Linked DNA regions of Arabidopsis thaliana. The protein of the gene in region 4 interacts with the protein of the main gene of each other region in a pairwise test. Each region holds a gene or a part of one and is shown on either strand. Other genes may lie near its edges. The genes, in order: WIP1, AT5G44920, SUN2 and AT1G71360.

The links.
Region 1: the proteins of AT1G71360 (region 4) and WIP1 interact in a protein complementation assay, tested with the Arabidopsis thaliana proteins (one study listed by BioGRID).
Region 2: the proteins of AT1G71360 (region 4) and AT5G44920 interact in a protein complementation assay, tested with the Arabidopsis thaliana proteins (one study listed by BioGRID).
Region 3: the proteins of AT1G71360 (region 4) and SUN2 interact in a protein complementation assay, tested with the Arabidopsis thaliana proteins (one study listed by BioGRID).

The regions. Positions count from the first base shown.
Region 1 is NC_003075.7:13,363,489-13,368,089, forward strand, and holds WIP1 (WPP domain interacting protein 1), read left to right. Parts: upstream 1-1,794; 5' UTR 1,795-2,248; coding exon 2,249-3,131; intron 3,132-3,309; coding exon 3,310-3,896; 3' UTR 3,897-4,043; downstream 4,044-4,601. Other genes in the region: AT4G26450 (uncharacterized protein), read left to right, coding at 1-905, 986-1,139, 1,215-1,293, 1,377-1,432; LRE (lorelei), read right to left, coding at 4,157-4,521. UniProt on the Arabidopsis thaliana protein: Mediates and enhances the nuclear envelope docking of RANGAP proteins mediated by WIT1 and WIT2 in the undifferentiated cells of root tips.
Region 2 is NC_003076.8:18,137,061-18,140,690, reverse strand, and holds AT5G44920 (Toll-Interleukin-Resistance (TIR) domain family protein), read right to left. Parts: upstream 1,917-3,630; 5' UTR 1,727-1,916; coding exon 1,224-1,726; intron 962-1,223; coding exon 697-961; 3' UTR 501-696; downstream 1-500. Other genes in the region: ARAD2 (Exostosin family protein), read left to right, coding at 1-65; AT5G44910 (Toll-Interleukin-Resistance (TIR) domain family protein), read right to left, coding at 2,456-2,711, 2,868-3,337. UniProt on the Arabidopsis thaliana protein: Could play a role in nuclear morphology, specifically nuclear size.
Region 3 is NC_003074.8:3,357,757-3,362,665, forward strand, and holds SUN2 (SAD1/UNC-84 domain protein 2), read right to left. Parts: upstream 2,947-4,909; 5' UTR 2,767-2,946; coding exon 1,687-2,766; intron 1,088-1,686; coding exon 800-1,087; 3' UTR 532-799; downstream 1-531. Other genes in the region: ASD1 (alpha-L-arabinofuranosidase 1), read right to left, coding at 3,275-3,433, 3,516-3,662, 3,738-3,927, 4,008-4,064, 4,146-4,249, 4,339-4,410, 4,497-4,615, 4,698-4,842. UniProt on the Arabidopsis thaliana protein: Component of SUN-protein-containing multivariate complexes also called LINC complexes which link the nucleoskeleton and cytoskeleton by providing versatile outer nuclear membrane attachment sites for cytoskeletal filaments.
Region 4 is NC_003070.9:26,891,574-26,896,282, forward strand, and holds AT1G71360 (Galactose-binding protein), read right to left. Parts: upstream 2,674-4,709; 5' UTR 2,672-2,673; coding exon 2,431-2,671; intron 2,269-2,430; coding exon 641-2,268; 3' UTR 503-640; downstream 1-502. UniProt on the Arabidopsis thaliana protein: Encodes a member of the mid-SUN subfamily of SUN-domain proteins that is localized to both the nuclear envelope and the ER. It is involved in early seed development and nuclear morphology. [TAIR].

The DNA.
Region 1 (4,601 bases), on a different chromosome or scaffold from region 4:
GGGGCTGATGAATCATTCACCAAGAGTGGTATTGATTTGGCAACGCTGTGTAAATTTGAGAAGGTGCCTACGAGGACACGCTCTTCTCTGACTGCAAAAGGCCCAAAGCTTTATTTGAGTCATAATATCAAGGATACCTCTCATAATTCTGGACTTGAAGAAGAAGATCAAACCGAAAATCGATGTGAGACTCGAGGCCAATCATCTGGAAAGGCCGATAGTACTGGTGATGAAAATGACCAAGTTGAAGATTTTGCTCTTGTTCAATATATTGAGAACAGTAAATGTCATAGGTCTAATTCTTTTCCCAGTAGCATTCTCAGGGATAACAGTGAGAAAGAATCAGGATTAGAATTGCCTAATCTGCACAGATCACATTCGGTGGGGAAAGTAGGTGAGAAAAGGCCTGGTGAAGGCAGTGACTTGGAGGAGGGATCAAAAAGACAGAGAGATTGGGTGGCAGTTTCTGAAGCTAATGAACGCTTCAACATGTTTAAAACAAGCGGAAACCAATGCGATCCGGAAGAAGAAGGAAAGACAAGCTCGTTCAACAAAAGACTGATTGACGGTGCTGCTGGAAAAAGGGTCAGCCATGAAAGTCTGGTTAATAACTCTACATACAATAGGACACACACTGGCAGAACAGGTCCAGGGTATGCTGAAGAACATCAGCTGTTTCCTGCTTCGTTTAAGATGTGTGACCTAAATCTAGGGGGAGCGTCGGATGTGAATGATGGGATAAAGGAATCTCGTCAAGCTGTTGATTTTGATCTCTCAATCAGCAGTTCTAGTAAGTCTCTCGAGTTTGGTACGAGTACTCGGATGAGCAATGGTAAAGAGATAGAAGTGATTAATTTGGATGATGATCAAGAAGTGGTAAAGTCCAGCAATGATCCAGGAAGAAAGTACGGCCAAGTCCTACTCTTAACACTTATATATACACACACCTATTACATTTTGGCTAATGGGTTTTCATATCTAACAGGCAAGAAGCTGCTCCATATATGGGCATCGATGACGTCCCAGACTACAATGAAAGACTCATGATGGTAGAGTATCTTGATTCCTTTACTCCAATAAACCAGGGAACCAGTAGTGTCCCACAGAATAACAACACAGTTAGCCTTCAAGACCGAGAGGTACCTACTCTACTTGTCAAGTTTTATGTCACATAGAATGTTTGTTGTTGCTAACAGATCCTGAAAACGTCTCAGGGAGCTATTGGAAATGACCAAGTACCAAATAATACAGACGATGATTCGATCTTCATGTCACTCGGAGAAATACCATTGAGTAAGACCAATATCAAATTCTTTCTCTTTTCTATTTTAGCTTCTTAAAGAGCTGAGATTCATTATGTCTTTGCAATTGTGCAGCATTCTTGCAAGCTTGGGACCAACCTCCAGCTCGAGGCTACGAGAAGCCTTTCTGATTCTCTTTTTTTTTGTTATGTTTCTTCAGTCTGTGTAATGAGTGTGTAGTAGCCCAATTTCGTTTGTGCTAATCTCAATCCTCTCAGATGATGTAAGAATGTGACTTGTGGTGTTTTATGGTTGTATGTACCCTTTGTAATTCTCTGTTTATTCTCACACTGTCCCCATGTTTTAGGTCAGTTCAACAATTTTCTGAAATTGTAATAACCAAAATGATAATTATTAACGGTATATATATGTCGTGTCCAATCTCACGGTCAAAAATGAAGAAGGTGATGCTGAGAGGTCAGGCGATTCCGACACGTGTTATATTCCAACCACCCACACGTAATTTTCAAAAAGGAACAAAATTGATCATGAGGGAAAAAAGAATAAACTTTTTCCCACAAAGAAACTTTCCACATTGAACGAGAGAATTATAGATCTGCGAATCCGATCATTGGATTAGGGTTTTCACTTTTCACCCTCCTTTTTCCATCTCTCTGCTGTATACCCTTCCTTTCTCCAAAAAGACCAAAACTTTGCGATTCAATTCGAAATCTGTGTTCTTCCATTGAGCTGGATTTTCATTTTTGGAATCATTTCTTCTCTTCTTTGATCCGATAGATGGTGGCATGGTAGGAAATTTTAGACCTTTATATTTCTATTTAACCGTCAAGGAACCAATGAATTTGTATAGCTTGTTGAGTTGACTTTTTGATTGTGTATGATCGAATTTGGGATCCTCATTTCGGGTTTTGGGTTATTGATCTGAGCTCCTGTTACTTCTGAAACCGATGTGAATTTGGTGGGGGATAGATTTTTTTGTGGAGTCAATGGATTTGGAGAGTGAAAGCTCTGCACTTGAGTCTGTTGATGATAATGTTTTGATTCAACAAAGTGCCAGCAACGTTTGTGATGATGGTAGGAGTTTGGATAACGGGTCTTGCTCTGATGAGAGTGTGAAACTGCTTTCGACTTCTAATTCTGTTGAACTCGGTAAACCTATGAGTTTTGATTCACCAGGTGATGGTGGTGGTGCTTATTCTCCGGTTTTGAAAGGACAAGGCTTGAGAAAATGGAGGAGGATTAGGAGAGATCTTGTTAAGGACACGTCTGCGAATATGGAGAATAGTAAAGCTCTGAAGAGAGGGTTGTCAGGTGTTGCTCATTCACATGGTAAACAGATGCAGTTTCAGTCACCGGAAGTTGAACAAGAGAGTCAGGGATCTGTTGGGTCTGTTAATATGTTGAAAAGTAGCGGTGATGGTTTTGATATACTTGGGAGTAGTGGTTACGATTCTAGGTTTGTGGCAGGGGTTGGTTTTTCAGCTGGTATGGATTTAGAGATAGATGATGATCGGAGTAGTAAGTCTTCCACGGTTGCAAGAGCTCCCAAGGTTATTAGGTATGAGAAGCCAATGATTAGTTCAGGTCAGGGAGGAAACATTCGTGTAGAGAATAGTAAGAAACATAGAGGAGAAAGTGTCGATTTCGAGAAGGAAAACTCTTATTCCAGCTTGGAATCTGACTCAAGAAAGCAGAGTGGAAGAATGATGGACTACAATGGTGAAAATGGGGAAACGTCAATGAGAAAAGATGATGCGGGAGGAGAAGGCGGAGAGTCGATAAACACGGACAATCGTTACTCAGATGAAATGGATCCATTAACAGAGGCCATCAACGGTTTCTTGGCCTTGCAAGATGCTCTTGAAAAAGGTAGCCATTCTGATTATTTTTTTGCTGCGGATTGTATCTAAACTTGCATTATTTTTACTGCTGTTACATAACTATTTCTTGTTATGAGCCTGCATTATCATGTTGGAATCAACTAATAACATCACATGAACAATGATTATGATGTTTAATGTGACTCTTTATGAAATTTCATTTGCAGAGGTTCAGCAATTCCAGGAGATCGGGAATGAACCAATGCCACAGCATCATGAACAAGTCAGCGAAGCAAATTCACCTCACCCCGAGATTGTAACCCTGGTAAACAATGTTGAACAACTGGAGAACATGCTAGAAGAAACAAGGTCCATGCTTGAGGTGAAAGAATCACACATCCGTGACCTTGAATCCACCACGAACCAAAGCAAACACTCGTGGGGAGGAACAGAGATTGTGGTTGAAGACATCTTCCGGCAGAAGATTGAGGCCGAGATTGAATATCTGATATATTCAAGATCTATCGATAACTTAAACAGTCAGATGAAGTTAATTGATGAACAAGAGTCATTGGCAGAAGAGCAAACCCATGAGACGCTGAATAAGCTAGGAAGAGTACAAACGAAGGCTGCAAATTTTACAAACAGAGCTCAAGACCTGCAAAACGATTGCATAGAAATCACCGGGACCATCAAGAAGAGAGCATGTAAGATCACTTCATACGTTCTTATACAGTTAGTATTGCTGTCAACAGTAGTTTTGTTGCTCCTGTCTCAATTGTTGCCGGAGCCAGATACTGTTGTACCCACATGACTTTTGATTTTTGATGTAAACTGAGTTTTGTTTTGGCTTTTGGCTTTTCTTGTTAACAATTCGGCTATAAGTTTTGCCTCTGGTAATAAAATTAATCAAGTAAGTCTCGCTTCTTCTTTTGTTTATTTTGGAGGTCAAGTATTCTTTACACTTGGACACTTGGTCAGTAACAGAACAATTTGATAATTCTATCTAGTTTGTTAGCTAATATGGTATCAAAATGTAATCACTCTTTGGCTCTTTCAATTTCCTTTGATTGATCAAGTCAACACTAACAAAGCAAAAACAGCGGTTGCAGCAGAGATCAACAGCGAGATAAAACGAGGAGTCGAATCAGCAGTTGAGGCGTTTAGGTTATGTGAATAGAGAGGTGGTAAAGGGCAAACAAGCCCATCTTTCCTTTCTCTGCACTCGTTAGCGAAAAGGCCAGTAGGGTAGTTTCCATAAATATTCATGTAGCTGAACATTGTCTGTGCACAATCACTATTCATGTCGTTGATCTGACTCACGTAAGGACATGCAAATTCTTTAAAAGCAGAGCAACATTCTTTGGCTGGAAACGCTGGACCTTTGCACCTCTTTGTCAAGACCTTGTAGTCCATATACTCAAAGTTCACTTCACATTCTGTTTCCAACCAAACAAAAAACAAGAGTTAGTGTCACACCACTTATATATACTTATCTATACACAAACTTGATACACTG
Region 2 (3,630 bases), on a different chromosome or scaffold from region 4:
ATGGAAGTGACCCTCAATGTTCTTGTTTATGCTCAAACCAAACCGGGATCATCCATGGTGTCTAGTAAGGTTAAATGCCTAGCAAGCTCATGCTAAGCAACAAAATGTGATCATTATTAATGATGAATCAAAGACTGGAAAGGTAAAGAAATGTGATCATTTAGTCCTTATAAATTATAACTAGAACCATTCTTTGTTCTTCGTTTTTTCCCAAATACATGACTCAGTACGCCTTTCTAAGCCTTTTCTTTTTATATAGGAACAACAAGAGAAACCACATCACTCTCTAATTCCGGGTCAAGGGTTTGATCAAGAATGCGCGTTTCCTGGTGGGTTTTGACTTTGGGAGTGTTAAATATCAAGAGAGATTCAAGCAAAGAGAGGTACATTTTATCTTTTAATTTGCTAATACTCAAAGACCACCACACAAGTGATGAAATCAACCATTTACATTATTAGCTAACCAATGGAGAAGCAAAAGACTTTTAGGGCAATGAGAATTTCTAGTCATAGAGCCTACACAGAGAACAGAAACAGAGTAATACAAAGCACAAGTTTGTTCTTTAAAATAGTAACTGACAATTACAACACAATTATTAACAAAGAGACACACAAATGTACAAAGCAACCAAATGATCTTTAACACCCCATTTAAACAACACACAAACAAACAGCATAAAGTTGCACAAAAGCCACTTATGAAGGAGGTGGTGCTTTGTTCTGGTTATTTTTGTACCAAAACCACGACGCAAGAACAACTGCCAGAGTACCTATGAACCATTCAGGAGTCTGGAAAAACTTCTGATCAGGGAGATACTTAGGGGCAATGAAGAAACTAAAGATCAAGTTGATGGTTATAGCCAAGAAAGCAACTCCTATAGCTGACCAACTGTTGTCAGTTGGTATGTTTAGCTGTTTCTTAACCTCCTTAACAATATCCAAAACAAAATCGGTATCGTGTCTGCAAAAAAAAAAATTATAACATGAGTTAGAGAAAGAAGAAGATGATGCAAGTAGGTTTTTACTTTTTTTTGGTTATATCAATAATACAAGAATCATCAAGAAAACTCGAGCGGTCAAGTTTCGGCATATATCGCTCGGTCAAGTGGGTTGGTGCCTTGGTGGATTTGCGGAAAACTCCTTACCAAAGAGATCTACTAATCAAAGATCAGTCGGGCATAGATCCAAACATAATCAAGAATACATGTATTTTGAAGTATTACTTGTACTTTGAGTTTGACCGGGAAAACCCTATTCTTTTTGTCACAGATCTCAGGGCACGCTCCCAACCCTCGACCCTCTCAGGCTCCCCTGCATGGTTTTGCTTCAGTTGCTTAAAAGGAAGGGAAAACTCTCCATCAAGATTGCCTTCTCCATCGGGATTGGCTGCTCTTTTTACATCGTCCGATCTTACGTTATAGAAGATTGGAATCACCACGAGTTTCTTTTCCTTCATCTGTTCATTCATCGTCACAAGCTCATCCAAACACCACTTTGACTCACAGTACCTCTTGGAGAAGATAGCAAGCGCGATTTTTGACTTCTTGATCCTTGTGAAGAGATATTGTAGTCTTCTCCCTTTCTGCTCTTTAGTGTCTATGAAGACGTTGATCCCTGCGTTTCTTAATTGCAGCTCTAGATGGTTGACAAAGATTTCGCGCAGCTCATCTCCTCGGAAGTTGATAAACACCTGATCAGAAAGAGGTTCTTGGACCTGCTCATCCATTGGAATGGTGTCTAGGTTCGTCTGAATAAAAAATAGTGAATATAGTTGGTGAGAGACTTTGTTGTCTCACTTTGTCCTTTAAAATACATTACAGAGAAACGATTCTTTAATTCTTCAGACCAATCAGTGGCTCGATGCCAAGTCTGCGCCTATCCTCAGTCTTTCTTTAATATTATACAACATTATTGTCTCAATGGATCCAAATACTCTAAATCCTGGGTCATGGGTCGGGTAAATAATGTTTTTGAAGACAAACTATAAAGAGTGAAACAACTAAACAGAGATGTAATCTATAGCCAAACAGTGCAAAACTGTTAAGTTTCCAATATCGATACCTCCGATTCCTTAACCAAACCAGTACACACTAACACACCATACACGAGAGAGACTAGCACATCACTAGGTCAGCTCTCAGTACACCATATGAGAGAGACTAGCACATCACTAGCTCAACTCTCAAGTCTCTCATGCAAGACTCACACAATTCAACAACAATCAACAATAAGCATAGATTCTCTAAATCGATATCTCTCCTTATTTATACTCCCAAGCCTGCAACCGCAAACCCTTTGTCATGCCCAGAGACTTTGCTTTCCTTCCCAGCTCATCACACAGTCAACACACACAGTCAACGGTGTTGACTGCCTCTGCTTCTTTCTTTTCTTTACTTGCTTCTCCAATCGTATCAAAAGCCATTTGACCACAAGTTGGTGATTAATCAAGAGGTCATCATCTGTTTGGTTGGGTCCGTAGACAGTAAAGCTGGTGCAAGATACCAGCCAAAACTGGAAACCCTAGTAAACACTTAACAGCTTTATTAACTTTCACATCAGTGCATAGTAAACGAGCTACAATGAGACTACAGATAAAAACCGCAGCTGAAGCCAAAACAAACACTTGTCCTTTAGTAATATTTTGTCTTTCAGAGTCCATTAGCTCGCTCTTAACCGCCGTGACGATTGCCCTCACAAGACCTAAACCCGTTCTGCAAACATATGTCAGGAAGAAACCGTTAAATGAGCTCAAATAAGTAGTCTTCCTAAGAACAAATTAACAAGAATTGACTAAAAAAAAAATTCATAGAAAATTCAAAACAGTTTGTGTTTTCACTACTTATAAATTTCATCAAAAGAATAATTACCCGTGGTCTTCGGAGGTTAAGCCGGTCCGCTCTACTATTGAACTCAATGAATCCTCCCACTTCAAGATCTTGAGTGGATCGTTTGCGTATTTCTCCCTCAGTTCCTCGAAATGATTACCGAATTCATCCTCGAGGTTCTTTACACCGCTTATGCTCACATCATAGAAGACAGGTATCACCTTAAGGTTGCTTTGTTCTACGTGCTCGTACATCTTTTGAAGCTCGTTCAAGCACATCTCTGACTCTGTATACCTCTTGGAGAAGATGACGACCGCGATATTCGACTCCTCGATCTTTGTGGAAATATTTCGTATGTCTCTCCTATTTGCTTCTGCTCTGTCTACGAAAACGTTGACTCTCTCGTCTCTCAATCCCCACACAAGATATTTGATGAAATTGTCGCGCGATTCGTTTCCATAGAAACTAATGAATACTTGAGGAGGACGTTGGTACGGTGGTGGTTCTGCCATGGGAGGGTTGAGAGTTGAGACTTTCTTGCTTTAATTTTTCTTCATGAATATATGGAGAAGAAGAAGCTGGAAAAGTAAAAGATTCATTTCTTGTTTTGGACCAATTCATTTCAAAAGTCAAAGCATTTATTTCTTTTTTAGGAAAAATTCATTTCAAAAGTCAACTCTTGGCAACTGTCTTCTTTATTATTTTTTATGGAAAAATTGGAAATATAGGACAAATATTTAGATATTTGTTCATCTATATTCAATGAACAAATGTAAACTATCCTTAAACTATTCTTGTATTAGAT
Region 3 (4,909 bases), on a different chromosome or scaffold from region 4:
TTGGTCAAATGAAGAGTTTTTTTGGAGCCGGTGGTCCACCGTCACGACGACCAAACATGGGTTGACTTGGTTAGGAAAGGTTTCTTCATGTGATTTAACCGTAAAAAATGGCTATTTTTAGAGCTTAATTTTGTTTAGCTCAATTTGTTATGCCAGTTGACACTGTAAAAAATTAACATTAATCAGACATGTCAAAGATGAATTTGTATTTAATTTAATTTATAATCAAACAAGCTGTGTTGACTTGGAAGAGGGTTTCATATCTATTATTTGACCGTAGATTTTGCATGTGATGTGTTGGGAAGCTTTTAGACAAGGCAAGACGGTGCAGCCTAGAAGAAGAAGTCGTCACTTTGTCGATTACGCAATTCACACTAACAAGTTATGGTCCATCTATATACACACTCTTCCTATTCATCACATATCGTTGTAATACCAAGTACCCAAGGTAACCATTAATAATCCAAATTCAATATTTGTTTCAACTAATGAAATATGTATACTCTATTAGAATTTGTATGATTTGTTTTAGGTGAAAGCTTAAATTGAAACTCTGTTACAAAACCAAAACCGGACATCAAACTAAGATCTATATTATTCAATTCGGAGGATACATACCCTGACCAAATAAACCGAACCAAAACAGATTTGAAGCTAATAATCACGAATACAACCAAATGATTCTGATTACAGACTAAGAGAAGCTTTCCCACCACATAAACTAACACAAAAAAAGAAGAGAGATATCTATTAGAGGGAATGTTACAAAGAGAAGAAAAGTTTGACGTGGACTTTCAGATCAAGCATGAGCAACAGAGACTGAGTCTAGTTCACGGCCATGAACCCTGAAGCGGTAGATGCAAGTGTGTGAAGAGCTTCCATGGTTGGAATTGAAGTCTAGCCTGACAGTGTTGACAAGTCCTGAGTGAGCAGAGTCTGCAATGTCGAATGTCTGTGCATTGGACCTGTCTAAGTCGTAACTGAATTCTGTAAGAAGGGGCATTGTCTCAGTCTCCATATCTATGTCACCTAGCCATCCTGATACACGGCAATCCTTTGGGGCGCTCGATCTGTCATATGCTACAGCCTGTTCGATTAAATGGTGCATAACATAACCGTAAGATTAGTATTGCCTTTTAGTGGTCAGACAAGAAGAAATTTATCAGACAAATGATCACAAGGATGAACAATGATGGAAAGCAATGTGTGACCATCACATTACACACTCTTGAGACTATTTCCCTTCAGCTACTGTTTCCTAAGGATATCCGTAAACAGTGAATATTACAGTTCCACTAATTGTAAACTTACAAGCTCTTCCCATACATACGGTTCTTTTCTCTGTCAACGATGTCCCAAACAAAGCACAACAACACAGTGGCATTGATATTAGACAAAGGAACTGCTAAAGCTAGTGATTTGCAGAAAATAACAATAGGTAAAATCCTCCTCAATGCATATTGTCACAGCTAGTGCCTAAACTAAACCTCAAACTATAAGAACTCAAATTCACAAAACTAGTTTCTTGCCCTCTATTCGATAACCTATTGTCACCAGCAATCCAATCCGAAGTACAGGGCATCTCAATACCAACAACATTTAACAGAGAACCCTTCTTGAAGGCTCAAATTAACATATAAAAATCAATCATTTTGTGAAAGTTTAGTATTGAGATGTTAGTACTACCTTAGAGACATGTTCCAAAGTAACAGCTTCTGGAATTATTGGTGCTCTTAGCCTGACTAGAACATATCCATTGCTTCCTTTCAGAGGAAAACACTGTCCAGGCTCCCCGAAACTCGGAGTTAACATCTTAACCGCTTTGCTATGAACCCGTCTCCTGCTTGTCCCAAACCAATTACGCCCATTTCCAACAAGAAACGGATCCGAATGCCCCATTACAAAAGCTCCACCAGACGCTAACGCATAATCTACTCGACCAAGGCCATCTGCAACATGTTTCCCTATCTCTTTCTCCACTATGTCACGAGCATAAGCCCTCAGTTTATCAATGTTAACATCAGAATCACCGACCTTACCCTTCTTCAACTCCTCGTAAACTCTCTCTAACTCCTCTCTAGACACCAAAGGTTTAGCATTTAACTCATCTACAGAAACCTGTAACCTCTCTGTCTTAGACTCTACCTTCTTCAACTCACTATGTAACACAGAAGATGTGGAATCTATCGTCTGCCTCAATGCTCTTGATTCACTATCCATCTTCTTATCAAGAAACTCAACTTGAACCTGCATCATCTTCGTCGTAGTCTTCACCAAACCATCAACTGCAGAAATCCGACTCTCCAATTCCGAAAGCACCATTTCCGTTTCAATTGGGAAATTCGAAGAAGACAGAGACGAATCCTTCAAAGTCAATTTCCTAATCAACTGAATCAATCCAACAAGTAACAAAAGAGCCCCAAATTGCTTCGCGAATACCCTAACCACTGTCTTCCATTTCCCTCTATCTATCTTATTCCCCTGAGACTTCCGCGTCCGACGCTGCGTGGTGGTTGTATTAGTCCCCGTCGCGGTGGATCCTGATTTCCTTGTCACCGGACCTACGTCGTAGGTGTTGGATCTCTCACCGGCAGCCTCGGCGCGAATCAGATCCTTGTTCGTACCAGCAGACGACTCTCCAATTGCCGCATTGGCATGAGATTCGCTCGGCGGGAAATCAAAATTAGATTTCTTCTCACCGGAGAGAACCGGCGTCCGCCTTATTGTCCTAGGACTAGCGGTGATTGACACCGTTGACGCCGACATGATCTTCAATTTTGAACTACAGAATTCGAAATGCTCTTCCTTATGAATAAATAAACCCTAATTTTGACTACAGAGAGAGAGATTTGAAATGGAAGAAGAGTGAGGAAGTTTATATAGGAGAGAGATCACTACAAAATTCAATTTTGAAAATCTGAATCGTGTGTTCTTCAGTTTCGCCATTTTTATTTGTTTTGATGCTCCTCCATTTTTTTCAAAATTCATTATGATGGGCTTTTAAAAGCCCAATAATGGAAATAAAATGGCCCAGCCCACTTTCACGCCTCGTCATCTTCTTTTATGCTAAGAAGAAACTGTTGCTTCATCATTCTTGCATATCAAGATATCTAGAGTCGAGATAAGCTCATGATTAAAGAAAGTAAATTTATTCACCAGACTATTATTATATATACACAAGGGTACGTTATAAGCATTTATGGAATGTAATTAGATTTGAACCACAAAGAGACTTTTGACATGAAAGTTGATACTTCCTTGTCATTGTTTCTCTTCACACAGTGGTAGTTTTCTGATGGGAAGAAGAATCAGAGATTGGCATTCTTATCTTTGCAGATTCCTTCAACAAATCGAATGAAGAAAAGGAATGTGGCGGGAGAACAACGGTCATATCCTCCTCTGCCAACTCTAGCAAGCTTTCATGTGGTACAACCTGCAAATAAAAACCAATAAGAACATGGGAACACTCAGAATTTGTGATGATAATGATGTTTCTTCCATCTCTTGATTTTTACCTTCTCTGGCTGTGAGAAGGAATTTTCATCCATCACATTGGTAGAGGTAAGTACTGTCTTCTTTGATCCCGAAACTCTCATCACGTTCGGGTCCAATCCAGTTACCAACACTTGCATATTTTCTGAGTTAGCTCCGAAGTTTACAGCCTGCAAATAACAGATTTTGAAACAGTTTTTTAGGGTCAATATCAGAGCTCCGGTTGAATCTTTCACTCGGTTTACCTTTATGCGTATGTAATCTTTGCCATTGTTTTTCCAAGAGATAGCAGATGCAACAAGAGAAGTAGAGTTTCCCTTGAGTGTTGAAGTGAGAAGAGTTGCTCCGCTTGACTCTGCAAAAAACCGTTGAACCCAATAGCTAGGTGTTCCATATAGATGAGAGGAGTTGAAGACTATTGCATCAGGGTTCCACCTGAAACCAATTTAACAATTTGAGATTATTGCCTTATCTTCCTGAGTAACCATTCGAACGGAAAAGTAAGTGAGAGATACCGTCTATCATTTGTGTTCACAAAGAGTGGAGCATAACTTGCCATTTCAACAATGTCACTGCAAAAAGTCATAAGATGTTTAACTTATTTGATGTTTTTAGTTGAGATCAAAGCCTGGGAAGAGAAATTCAAAGGGAACCTATTCTTTTCAAGACCAATGAGAAACGCAGCTTCTGCAAGAGAGGCAAGAAGGCTTCCTGTACCAGCATCTTTTCCAGTAACAGCATATTCACTGACAAAAGCCTGTAAACAAAGTTCACGAGTGAGTAAAACGCTGAAAGCTTCATCTTGTGTTTGTTGGAATTAAGTTTTGTTATAATCTATTACCGCACCTTTGGACCTTTGCGTGAAGTGCGATCAAATTGATGATACATGGAAAACAAATTGCTAGCAGAAGTGTAAATCTGTGACAAAAAGGAAACACTTTTTTCAGGCGGAAGAGAGAACACAAGACAACGGTTACAGTTTCTGTCAAGATAGAAAATTTTACGTGATAGTCATAGTAATCAGCTGGGTGGTCGAGTGGATGAGAGGATCCATCGCAGTTGGAGATGATTTTGATATCTGGATAGGCTTTCTTGATAGCATCATAGAACACAATGTAGTTTCCTGTAAAGTTGTAATCTCATTTAGTGTCAAAGATGCTCAACAAAAATCTAAGTCAAGATGTGATCATAGAGAAATGCAAAACCTCTGTAGTAAGTTTTCCCACAATCTTCATTTCCAATAGCAACGTATTTAAGTTCAAAAGGTTCTTGGCGTCCCATTTTAGCTCGAACAGATCCCCAAGTAGAATTGGCATCTCCTCGGGCAAACTCGATACCGTCGAGTGCTTCCTGAAACAAAAAGAGGAGAAAGTTTTGGTTTTCCGGCTTCTTCACTAGTGAAACAGAGGAAGGTTTA
Region 4 (4,709 bases):
ACGGAGCTGTGCAGTGAAGACAAAGCGAACTGTTCTTTCGCCTTTTACTAAAGAATACCGTGTCTTCTCTGTTCTTAGCGGCATACGCCTATTTTTGGAAAGGTTTATTAACCATTAATAAACCTCCATCAATCTTCAGTTTATAAATGATTATAGCTAACTTTATTTCTCTCTAGTATAAAGCTCAGTTTTATGCTGAAGTTACGTTGACAAATAACCCCACTTTGGATGAACTATGAAGAGTAGGAGATGACATGTGAGAGATTGGTATAAGAGGTTGATTGGATTCGAATTTTAAAACTATCTTTGCTCTGTGGCAATGACGAAGCTAGGGTTAATTATTGAAAGAAAATGTTTATAATTATTTTGGTCATAAGAAAATGTTTTCTGTGAATAATAGTTTTGTTTGTAAATCAACTTTCTGCAATGAAAACTCTTTCTACGTATAAGCTTTGATTTGATAAGAGTTTTTTCCATTGAACCGGACAAAACTCTTGTATTTGAAACCTCATAGGCACATCATAACTTATCTAGGTAACTTCTATAGTTTTATTGGGTATAAAGAAGACTCAGCTAACTCTACAGTAAGAAAAAAACTAGAAAACAAAAAGAAAGACCAAAACTGAGAACTCTTCTCTCATCAAAGTGACAAAATGAACATAACGAATGTGGAGCTTATCAATAACAGAAGCCAAGCCAAGCCACCTTGCTTCTCTGCTCGAACTATCCCCATACCAAAAACCACGGCTACAACTGCTATAGTCCCAAACCCGACACAGATTGTGAACACAACCACACCTTTCTTCTCCATCCACTCCAGTCTTTCCAACACTTGCTCTAACCTCTCCTTCACTTTCTCTTTCTCATTCTCAGCCTTCTCAAGCTCTGTCTCCACTCTCATCCGCCACTTTCTCATCTCCATCGCCTCTTTCTTCGTATTCTCTTCCCTCTCCTTCATTCCTTCTACCTCTAGTCTCATAGTCTCCACCTCCTTCTCTCTCTTGCTCGCCTCCAGGTCCATCTCCTTGAATATCATCCCGTATTTCAAGCTCCGTTCCTCCAAGTAACTCTCAAGAACTGATAAGCTCACGTCCAGCGACCTTATCTTCTGCATCAGTATCTTCAAGACAGTGTCCCCCGGCATTCTGCTTCCTGGTTGATGTTTTATCTCTTCCACCGGATCTGGCAGCTTTCTTTTCTCAAGTGATACTTCATCTTTCACAACCGCATTCTCTGGTGAGGCTTCTTGTTCCTTCTCCTTCTGTTTACTCTTGTCTTCATCGCTTTCGAAGGACTCTTTTGCTTGCATTGTCTTCTTCTCTTTCTGCTCAGTGTCTCCTTCTTGGAGTTTCAATATGTTCTTGTCTTGGATAGATATCAAATCCTCCAGCATTCGCTCCACAGCGTCCACTCCATAGACTTCTAGTAAACTCAAGGTGCAGTAGAATTCTGAACCGTAATGGCTTAGCAAGTTTAGCTTTAGATATCTCACCCATTTGGGATCTGCAAATGTAAAGTTCTGCTCGTGCTTCATGTTTAAAGCCGTGAAATTCCCTAGATGAACCCACGTATCAGTTGGGTAAACCAAGGTCCCCAAAATCTCAAAATCCTTCAGATTGGAAGAGTAATGCTCGAAATTTGCAATCTTGATTGTGTTCACCAACGTTTCTTCTGAAAGTTCTATGACAACGAACTTCCCTTCAGTAGAACACGGGTTTCGGAGATACTTGTCTTTGTCCCGGCATATGATGCTTGAAGCTCCTTTTGCTTCCTTGTTAGAAGATAAGACCTTTGCACCTTTTGAAGCAGCTGCATAATTGTACTCTTTCCCACCAGGCTCCATCCTATGAATAACGCCAGTTACTTGGCCTGACAAAGATTTGTCTCTAGAATTGGACGCTCTGCTCTTGAACTCATCAAGGCCAAGCGGAACAGCACGAGATAGCTGATCAAGCTTTGAACCAGTGGTCTCTGTATCATTCCCTGGAACTGTGTTATTATTTATCTCACTTTGCTTCATAGGCACGTTGTCTTTGCTTTCTGTAACATTTCCTACGATAACGATTGTGTTATCGACTTCTAATTGCTTCAAGATGGTTTCTGAGCCTTTACTTTCTCCGGCTGCAGCTATATCAACATCCGAACTCAATCCAGGATTAGAATGAACAGAGGTAGACTCTAGTGATGTTGCATCAACAGACTCAGCTGTCTCATCTGCCCTTTCATCATCCGGTTCACCTTTTTCAACTGAATCCACTAAAGATCTACCTGCAAATGCCCAAGAGTAAGCCTTAGATACACTTAAGATATGGTCTATACATCTTCATGATTGTCATATCTCTAAGAGCGTATATTACTTAAGTTCAGTTCTCTAACCATATTCTAATAACTGTTTTGCATTCTGTCCAAATAAGGAACTCAAAAAGTTACCTTTGTCACCATCAACATGACTGATCCACAATGTAGATAAGAAGACAAGCCCCCATATGAGAAAAACCAAAGACAATGAAACTTTGTAGAAGCGATTCCTTCCATTAGAAGTAGTCTCAGAAACTCTTCTTCTAACCAGAAGAGCTCTCCGTGATCTTTGCATTTCACATCCAACCAATAAGATCAGATCACCAAACAAAAACTTAATATACTGTTCACACCTGTTCATAACGACACACATCAGATTCACAACTAAAAGCAAAATTGTATAAACTAAACAACAGAAACAAAGATCTCATAAATACAAGCAATAACAACAGAGCACTTGAGTCAAAGCTGCAAAATTTTACAATGAAATCGAAAAACGATAACGACCCAGCAAATGATTTTCAGATCCAATTGTAGAAAGACGAAGAATTGAGGAGAAAGTAGCCGGAGTAAGAATTTACCTGAGAAGCGAATCGGTGATTGAGGAAGACAAACCGAAAAGGAAGGCTTCTTCGTAACAAAACCCTTTTCAACGGCGACGTCTCCGATGAGTATCCGATCTAATGAAACCCGGTCGATGAAATTCCGACGATCTACCTCGTCTCTGCATCACAATCAATGAAACGCACCTCAATCTATCCCACTTTTTTCACGGGATTTATAGAAGCCGAGGGTTTTTAACCGTTGTGGTGTTAAAAAAAAAGGTGAAGAGTCAAAAAGAGAGAGACTTTCGAAAATTGAAAAAAACGCGGAAGAATCTGTAGAGTCGACAGAACTGATCCGCGAAAGACAAGACAATGGACACAGAGATGGGTGTGAGAAGAGTTTTGAGCAAATTTAATATACACATGAAATGATTGTACCGGTCAATAATTTTGAATTTGCAATTACTTTCTTTAAATTTGTTTCCTTACTATATCTTACCTTCTAATCAAAATTATGTGCTTAGCTGTAAAGTGAATAATTTTAAATTGAAGTAAATTATCATATTTATCTTTACGTTTTGACTAAAGATATTATTATTAGATTTCCTTCTCTGTTGTTGTTCAAACTGATTATTAAATTTCCTACGTTTAAATATTTTTGTACATGAACATTTTTTTGTTTTTTCCAAATTTGATTTGATTTGGGTATAGAAATTAACATATGGGGAGGTTGCCAATTCATTTGTGGGGTTAATGGACATGGATGTAGTTTAGTAGTTATAGCCACTATAGTATTGGCCTTATATTTATTTGGTTATAGTATTCAATTCAAACTATTATATCTCCAGAAAGCATAATTATTATTATTCCAGTTTCACATTCATTCAGTTTCTTCCTACGAAGAAAAGTAATTTAAAAAAAAAAACTTTTTAAAATCATTTAAATCCTAGGACTCTTTAACTTTTGTTTAAAAAGAAAAGTGAACTTTTATCTTAGGAATGCATATTCCCGAATATGTGGATCCAATCACTTTTTCCTAATGGATTTACTTCATTTTGGTCTATTAATATCATCATTAGGAATATCCCAAAATTTTAAATTAAAAGTATTCAAAAATTCTATTACATATTTTAGATTGTAACAAAACATCACAACAAAATAAAATAAAATTATATATGCGTTAAAACAAGACATATGTGTTCCTATGTTAGTTACAAACATACAGACATATGTATAAGTTAGATTTAGATTGGAAATGCAATTTGGTAATTAGGTATCCAACTTTGACAAAGTAACTCTAAATATTCAATCACAAAATTTTCGATCAAAAACTTTCAGCAACAACAAACCGATCAAACAAAATAAACAAATATTTTTAAGATTTCCTGATTTTTCCGTTTGTCCAAAATCACTAATTTAATTATCAGAGTAAAAACCATCATACCAATTACTTAGGACATAAGTTATCTTTCAATAATTTGTTTATCTTCTGGAAATTTGTTTGTATTCCAATTTAAAACCAACGAGCAATGAGTATACACCTTTCTATAACAGTGTTATCGTATATAGCAGCAACCAAAGTAGCAAGTTTGAATAGTTGAATAAGTTACAGTACTATATTTGTCAGTGTGAAATTACTTCATAAAAATTAAAAATCCAATAAATAATTGAAATTCAAAATTAGGAAACTAGTGAACGGTAGAGAAGGAGAATGACGGTTAAGGAAATGGGTCCCACATGATGTTGACTAAAAATGACGTGGCGTAAAGAGAGATCCAGCTTCGATTGCTCCCTTCTTCTGAGACACCTGGCGTTTTCATCTGCGTCGACCTCGCCTTTGGCCGACCTCTTCTTTCATTTTTACTC